Linked DNA regions of Macaca fascicularis. Each later gene encodes a partner of the first gene's protein in a complex. Links are inferred from orthologs where the notes say so. Each region holds a gene or a part of one and is shown on either strand. Other genes may lie near its edges.

The links.
Region 2: the proteins of FLT3 (region 1) and FLT3LG are in contact, whole or in part, in a crystal structure (PDB 7QDP), measured with the Homo sapiens proteins. The link is inferred for Macaca fascicularis from reciprocal best matches to the Homo sapiens genes FLT3 and FLT3LG. Residues at the interface, in NP_004110.2 of Homo sapiens: Asp180, His279, Gly280, Phe281, Gly282, Met300, Ser301, Thr302, Tyr303, Asn306, Arg307, Met309, Arg311, Ser333; in NP_001191431.1 of Homo sapiens: His34, Ser35, Pro36, Ile37, Ser38, Ser39, Asp40, Lys44, Lys87, Glu99, Asn102, Thr103, Glu104, His106, Phe107.

The regions. Positions count from the first base shown.
Region 1 is NC_088391.1:7,957,647-7,961,452, forward strand, and holds part of FLT3 (receptor-type tyrosine-protein kinase FLT3), read right to left. Parts: intron 3,788-3,806; coding exon 3,655-3,787; intron 3,565-3,654; coding exon 3,460-3,564; intron 1-3,459. UniProt on the Homo sapiens protein: Tyrosine-protein kinase that acts as a cell-surface receptor for the cytokine FLT3LG and regulates differentiation, proliferation and survival of hematopoietic progenitor cells and of dendritic cells.
Region 2 is NC_088393.1:57,427,095-57,431,496, forward strand, and holds the start of FLT3LG (fms-related tyrosine kinase 3 ligand), read left to right. Parts: upstream 1-1,483; 5' UTR 1,484-1,694; coding exon 1,695-1,931; intron 1,932-2,692; coding exon 2,693-2,986; intron 2,987-3,342; coding exon 3,343-3,396; coding exon of another isoform or gene 3,397-3,643; coding exon 3,644-3,787; intron 3,788-4,402. UniProt on the Homo sapiens protein: Stimulates the proliferation of early hematopoietic cells by activating FLT3. Synergizes well with a number of other colony stimulating factors and interleukins. Required for the development of B cells, and dendritic cells (DCs).

The DNA.
Region 1 (3,806 bases):
TCTCCAGGCTCCAGGCACCACCCCTCTGTGAACGGATTTTTTCTTCCAGATATAGTAACTCTTCTTTACATTCAGTGAAGATTTGGTTCGATTTCCAGATTCCATTATTTTGTGCAGGAGGGCATCCTAACCTGTATAGCAGCTTCTCCAGTGCTGACATCCTCTATTTTGGCTTGGGCAAGCTCTCAGGGGTATCCTTGTTTCCAAGATTTTGGCTTGGGGTGGGATTTCCTGTGGGCACTGGGACCCCGGAATACACCATGTCTTCAGCTTCACGCTGGACAGGGATCCGGGGCTTTCACTTGTTCATGTCCTATTCCTCATGGCTAAAATAATCTCTTATATTTTTTGGCATGCTTTGCTTCTTCTAAACACTTTCATATACTATTACCTCTTTCATTCAGTCATTCAATAAGTATTTATTGAGTGCCTACTGTGTAAGAGCCAATATCCTAGACGCTGGGGAATGAAGGATAAACAATACACAACTCTTGTCTTCCTGGAGTTTAGAGTCTCCTGGAGAAGGCAGAGAAGTAAATAAGCCATTACAATACAGTGCCATAAATGCAATATGGCAGGCAAGGTGTGGGCCTGTAATCCCAACATCGTGGGAGGCTGAGGCAAGCGGGAGAATTGCTGGTACCCAGGAGTTTGAGACCAGCCTGGGCAAAATAGCGAGAGCTCATCTCTGCTTAAAAATAAAATAAAATAAAAATTAGCTGGGCGTGATGGTGCATGCGTGTAGTTCCAGCTACTGGAAAGGTCATGGACAGACCATCACTTCAGCCTAGGACTTCAAGCTTGCATTGAGCTATGATCACTCCACTGCACTCCAGCCTGGGTGACAGACTGAGACCCTATCTCAAAAAAAAAACGAAAAGAAAAAATGCGAACTGGCAAAGGAATGCAGGGGTTCTGTAGGGTCAAAAGGGACAGCTACCTTAGCCTTTGAGGGGTGGGGAAAGGAGCATTCAATGTCTAAACTGAGTCCTGAAGAAAAACGGGAGCTGGCCATGGTGGAGGGGGAGGAGAACGGTGCCGAGGGTTGTGAAAGAGTGTGCAGAGGTCGAGAAAGGAGAGGGCACAGCACCACAGACACAGACCCTGCCCTCATGAGGCACAGGGGCTGCTGGACAGATGGGACAGCAACTGGATATTAAACACATGTCGTGACAAAGGTGACGGATTCTACGGGGGAAAGTCTGCAGAAAGCTAATGTCGCACATTGTAAGGGCTTCAATATTGTCTGTGGTGTGAGACAGAGGAAGTGGTGTTTAAGCTGAGATCTGAGGTTGCAGTGGGAGATACCTACATGAAAGGGGAAGGGGAAGCAGAAGGATCCACTTGTGCAAAGGCCCCACAGTGGGCGGGAGGACAGTGCTGGGGGAACTGAAAGAAGGCCAGTGCTCTGGGTGCTGAGAACAAGAGCTGGGGAGGCGGCGGCGGCCCAGCCATGCGGGTGGTGGAGGAAATGCGAAGTAGGAAAGCCATTTGATCTGCTTAGCCTTTCATCACTGTCACTTGCACCTCAGCATGGAGAAACCAAAGGGAGGCAAGAGTGGATACAGGAACTTGCTTTGGAAGCTTTCGTCCAGGAGAGAGCCTTGAACTAGGGTGGTGGTAATAGAGATGGAGGGACAAGGATGGAATCAAGAGACACTAAGCGGAAACCTGATAGGATTGGCTCACAGGGTGTTAGAAAGAGGAAGGTGTCAAGGAAAAGTCACGGGTTCCTAGTGTGCCCAACTATATAGAATGTGGTTATTTATTCACTGGCATTCATTACCAGTCACAGAGAGGACCGCTGGTGCAGGACCAGGGTTAGGGGAGTTCACCTTGGATACACTGTGTTAAAGGGAACTTTGAGACATCCAAACATTTAATACGTGAACCTGAAGCTCCAAAGCGAGATACAAGCATGAGGGCCATTGGTGTATGGGAGGACATCACGGGCATAGTGGGGATGGACTGTGTTGAGTGTGTGGAGCAGAAATGCAAGGCGGTCCAGGAGCAAGCCTACAGGGATGCCCCCTAAAAAGCTGGATGGAGCCTAGGCAACATGGCAAAGCCCCATCTCTACCAAAAATACAATAATTAGCCAGGCATGGTGGCGCAAGCCTGTAGTTCCCCCTACTCAGGAGCCTGAAGTGGGAGGATGGCTTGAGCCTGGGAAGTGGAGGTTGCAGTGAGCTGAGATCACACCACCGAACTCCAGCCTGGGTGACAGAGCGAGGCTGTGTTTCAAAAACAGCCACAGCAACCAAAGCTGGATGGAAGAAGATGAGCTCACAAAGGACTGAGAAGGGCAGGGGGGTGGGAGGAAAACCAGAATACGGCGACACAAAACCCAAAGAAAGAAAGTTTCTAGATGGAGAGAAGAGTCAACAGCATCAATTCATGCTGAACAATCAAGTAATGAGGACTGACAAATATCCATTAGGCTTGGTTTGAGGTCACTGTTGACCTTAGCAAGAGAGTCAGCTGGAGGTGCTTTTGCTGAGTCAGCGGTGGTAACGGGGAGGCCAATAATGAGGCTGGACGCCAGATCGGAATGGATGGAGCAATGAAGTGAGGATACGAAGGGCCCCAATTTACTGTCCTACCCAGAGTCTGTTTCAGCCCACACCTGTAATTCCAGCACTTTAGGAGGCCAAGACAGCCTCACTTGAGCCAGGAGTTTGCAACCAGCCTGGGCAATATGGTGAGACACCATCTCTACAAAAAAATAAAAACAAAATTAGCCAATTGTATTGGCACACTCCCGTGAGGCTGAGGTGAGAGGATCGCTTGAGCCAAGGAGGTCGAAGTTGCAGTGAGCTATGATCACAGCACTCTAGCCTGGGCAACAGAGCAAGATCCTGTCTCTAAAAATAAAACAAAACAACAACAACACAGACGGAAGAAAGAACTTCTGCCTGTGGCAACTGTATCCCCAAATATCAAAGCCTATAAAAACTAAATAGGCCTGGCACAGTGGCTCACACCTGTAATCCCAGCACTCTGGGAGGCCGAGGCGGGCAGATAGCTTGAGCTCAGATCAGCCTAGGCAACATGGTGAAACCTCGTTTCACCAAAAATACAAAAATCAGCTGCGCGTGGTGGTGCGCGCCTGTATCCCCAGCTGCTGAGGAGCCTGAGCCCAGGGGGCGGAGGCTGCAGTGAGCCATGATCACACTGCTGTACTCCAGCCTAGGTGACAGAGTGAGACCCTATCTCAATAAAATAAAATAAAATAAAAATAAACAAAGAGAGAAGTGGAAGAAGAGGTGGAGCTTTGTATTTATGACTTGAATTTTGTACTCATGACTGGCTTGACACTCATCCCAATCCACTCCATTTTTAGCCTCGAAACATGGCAAATAGTAACCATTCAAAGGATGGAAAAGAAGAAGGCATGGGTGGGAAACCGTGCCTCCCATTTTTGTGCATCTTTGTTGCTGTTCTTCCACTATACTGTACCTTTCAGCATTTTGACTGCAACCTGGATTGAGACTCCTGTTTTGCTAATTCCATAAGCTGTTGCGTTCATCACTTTTCCAAAAGCCCCTGATCCTAGCACCTTCCCTGCAAAGATAAATGGTGAGTACGTGCATTTGAAAGATTTCCCAATGGAGAAGAAATGCTGTGGAAACATTTGGCCCATTCCACTCTTACCAAACTCTAAATTTTCTCTTGGAAACTCCCATTTGAGATCATAGTCACAGTCTCTGAAATCAACGTAGAAGTACTCATTATCTGAGGAGCCGGTCACCTGTACCATCTGTAGCTGGCTTTCATACCTAAATTGCTTCAGAGATGAAATGACG
Region 2 (4,402 bases), on another chromosome or scaffold:
ACTGCACTCCAGCCTGGGCAACACAGCGAGACTCGGTCTCAAAAAAAGAAAAAAAAAAAAGGAAGAGAGAGAGAGGAGTCTTTGGGAAGGCCACAGAGATTCCCTAGAGGTGGTAGGGCAGTAGGGCAGGACACACATTGAGGGGCCCCAGGACTTGGTCAGGAAGGAGCTAGAGCAGGTCCTTTGTCCATGGGCCACATGAGCTATTGGGGCTTGTATCTCTGCCTCTCTTTCTAGCCAGATGGAAGGTCTGATCAGTCAGTGCCACAAGGCAGCTAACCCAGGCTGAACAGGAAGTGAGGCAGGCAGAGGGATCAGGGAAGGGAAATGGATGGTGAAGGCCACGACGGGCGAGGCTTTGCTGCAGTAACACACAACCCCCAAATCTGCGTGGGCCACAACCACAACTTTAGTTTGTTCTTACACTCCCTGCGCTCACCCAGGGCTGGCAGGATCCCTGTACTCCTCTGAGTGGCACAGGAAACTTGGCTGATGGAGGCGCTCTCTCCATGCATCCTCCACCATCCATTCCCCAGACCCTTAGACTTCCATCTAGAAGTGACACCTGTCACCTCCACCCTCATGTGATTGGCCAAAGTGAGTGTGGCCATGTCCGAGTTCCCCAGGATGGGGCCTCGAATCCTTCTGCAGGGAAGAGGGGCCAGCAGATGTTTGAGGACAGTCTGCCACGGATCGGATGGGTAAGCAAAAGATTCAGGCCAGGTGTGGTGGGTCACACCTGTAATCCCAGCACATTGGGAGGCTGAGGCAGGCAGATCACCTGAGATCAGGAGTTCAAGATCAGCCTCGCCAATATGGTGAAACCTCGTCTCTACTAAAAATACAAAAATTAGCTGGGCGTGATGGCACGCACCTGTAATTCCAGCTACTCAGGAGGCTGAGGCACAAGAATCGCTTGAACCCGGGAGGTGGACGTAGCAGTGAGAGGAGATTGTGCCACTGCACTCCAGCCTGGGCAACAGAGAGAGACCCCCTCTCAAAAAAAAGAAAAAAAACTTCAGAGATTCAGAGGTCCACAGATGTGGAAGAGAGCTTCTATTTTGTCTCATTTACCACCTCACTTCTCAGTTTGGAGTTGGAGAAACCGAGGCTTAGAGAGGTCAACGGGCTGGCCAAGCTCCCACAATGATAAAGCTAGGGCTAGGGCGACACCTGCCAGGCCCAATGTGACAAGATACATCCTGGGTCCTGTGTGCCAAGCCTTGGCGGGGCAAAGTTGGGGCCCAGAGGATGGTAAGACACAGCAACTCCTAGTTCCCAGAGACAGATCCGGGTTCCAGCCCCAGCTCACCATGCACTGGGCATGCCACCCAGGGAGTCAACCCCACTGCAGCCCCCGCCGCGGGGCGTCCAGGGAACCCACCATCTGCGGCGTGAGCGGCCGCCTCTCACCACCAGGGAGCGCGCTCTGCCTGGGCCCAGATTCCACCCCTGGACTGTCTCCCCCCAAAATTTTCCTTTCACTTTCGGTCTCTGGCTGTCACCCGGCTTGGCCCCTTCCACACCCAGCTGGGGCAAGCCTGGTGCGTGAGGAGACTTGGACTCTAGGTCCCCAAGGGGCGGAGCCAGGGTCCCCACTCCTGGGACAGGGGGAGCAGAGGGTGGGGGGCTGGGTTCCTGGGTCCCTAACCTGGGGAGGGTTCTGGGGACCATCGGGGTTCTTGGAAGTGGAGATGAAGAGTTTTCACCATAACTGGGGCCGACGCAGGAAGCCTGGGGGAGGAAGGGGCGGAAACTCAGCCACATCAAAGGGATGCAGGAGGGGCGGGGAGGCAAAGGGGCGGGCGGGACAGGGGCTGGGGCATGGGGGTCCGAGACTTGTTCTTCTGTCCCTTCCAAGACCCGGCCACAGGAGGCATGAGGGGCCCCCGGCCGAGATGACAGTGCTGGCGCCAGCCTGGAGCCCAACAGTGCGTAAATCCCAGGGACAAGGTCAGGGGAGAGGGGAGGCACAATGTCAGGATGGGGCGGGGGGGGGGAGATGGAGGGGAGGATAGATGGACAGAGGAGGGGGAAATACGAGGGGAGATGGATAGGAGAGGAGATGGACAGAGGAGGGGGAGATGGACAGAGGAGGGGGAGATGGACAGGAGGGGGAGATGGACAGGAGGGGGAGATGGACAGAGGAGGGGGAGATAGGAGAGGGAGATGGACAGAGGAGAGGGAAATAGACAGGAGAGGGAGCTGGACAGGAGGGGGAGATGGACAGAGAATGAGGAGATGGACAGGAGAGGAGATGGACAGGAGGGGGTATGGACAGAGGAGGGGGAGGTGAACAGGAGGGGGAGATGGACAGAGGAGAGGGAGATGAAGAGGAGGGGGAGGTGGACAGGAGGAGGGAGATGGACAGATGGGGAGATGGACAGAGGAGGGGGAGATGGACAGGAGAGGAGATGGACAGGAGGGGGTATGGACAGAGGACAGGGGAGATGGACAGAGGAGAGGGGAGGTGGACAGAGCCAAGAACGAATGAAGAGGACGTGGACCAAGATCAAGAGAGAAGCAGGCAACAGGGGTGTATAAGGCAGAGGGAGGAACAGGACTGGAGGAACCCGGGCGAGGAAAGCAGACGTGAGGATGAGGTGGTTGGAGACAGACGGGCAGAGTGGGGGAGATGGGAAGAGAGAGGGGTGGGGCAGAGGAGGATGCAAACTGGACGGCGTTGGACCAGAGGCAGAGAGAAACCGGGAAAGACGAGCAGAGATGGGGCCACGTCCCCGGAAAGTGTGGAAGAGGCGGAAGGACACCTGGGGAAGGAGGAGCGGGGAAGACAGAACAGTGCAGGTGGGAAGCCCGGAGGAGGGGGCTGTGTGTGGAACAGCGGAGGGCTCCCCTAGCGCCCCCTCCCCTGCAGACCTATCTCCTCCTGCTGCTGCTGCTGAGTTCGGGACTCAGTGAGACCCAGGACTGCTCCTTCCAACACAGCCCCATCTCCTCCGACTTCGCTGTCAAAATCCGCGAGCTGGTGAGAGGCGCTACCCGCTACCCCGGACCCCCTCACGTGATCCCCCTCCCTTTTTTTTTTTTTTTTTTTAAGTAGAGACGGGGTCTCTGTCCCTGTGTTGCCCAGGGTGGTCTTGAACTCCTGGGCTCAAGCGATCCTCCCACCTTGGCCTCCCAAAATGCTGGAATTACAGGCGTGAGCCACTGTGCTTAGGGGTATCCTCCCTCTGTGAAGTCAAAGTTCTGTGACTTCTTCTGGGCTCCCCTCTCTGGCTCTTTTCCCTCTCTCTCCGATTCTCTGCTGCCTCCTCTGGGTCTCCACAGTTCTGTTTCCCGCTGTCTTCAGCCAGGCCTGACTCTGTTTTCTCCCGCATGCAGTCTGACTACCTGCTTCAAGATTACCCGGTCACCGTGCCCTCCAACCTGCAGGACGTGAGTCATGTTGGGAGGGACCTGGGATGGAGGTGGGGACCACAGACTCAAGATGCCCCACCCAGGCGAGTGGATAACCTGGCCCTCCCCTCCCCAAACCCAGGAATCAGAGTCCCCGGCCCCTCCTCCCTCAGACCCAGGAACCCCGGCCCAGCCCCTCCTCCCTCCGGCCCAGCCCCTCCTCCCTCCGGCCCAGCAGCCCCGGCCCAGCCCCTCCTCCCTCAGACCCGGGGGTTCTCCCCACTAGGAGGAGCTCTGCGGGGCCCTCTGGCGGCTGGTCCTGGCACAGCGCTGGATGGAGCGGCTCAAGACTGTGGCTGGGTCCAAGATGCAAGGCTTGCTGGAGCGCGTGAACACGGAGATACACTTTGTCACCAAATGTGCCTTTCAGGTCAGCCCTCAACTTAGGGGACAAGTGAGGGGAGGGAGATGCCTTCGTACGCATTAGAAGTAAAGCTCCGCTAGGCCTTATTGGAGATTTATTTGGATCACAGCCACCCAAGGAAGGTAGAGCGAGAAGCTCTACCCGGCGGAGCTCTGTTCCTGCAGAACAAACACGTCCCCAGGCACCGGTGATGGGGAGCAGTCTGGTCCCATTCTGGGGCCCCGGTTTCCTAGGCCATGATGAAGGGTGCCACTGAGGGGTTCTTCCCCCGAAAAAAACTGGGGAGAAGAGGTCTCTAAAGTGAGAAGACCGCGCGCGGTGGCTCACTCCTGTAATCCCAGAGCTTTAGGAGGCTGAGGTGGGCGGATCACTTTAGGTCAGGAGTTCGAGACTAGCCTGGCCAACATGATGAAACCCCAGCTGTACTAAAAATACAAAAATTAGCCAGGCATGGTGGCTTGGGAATCGCTTGAACCCGGGAGCCAGAGGCTGCAGTGAGCCGAGATCATGCCACGGCACTCCAGCCTGGGAGACAGAGTGAAACTGTCTCAAAAACAAAACAAGGCCGGGCGCGGTGGCTCAAGCCTGTAATCCCAGCACTTTGGGAGGCCGAGACGGGCG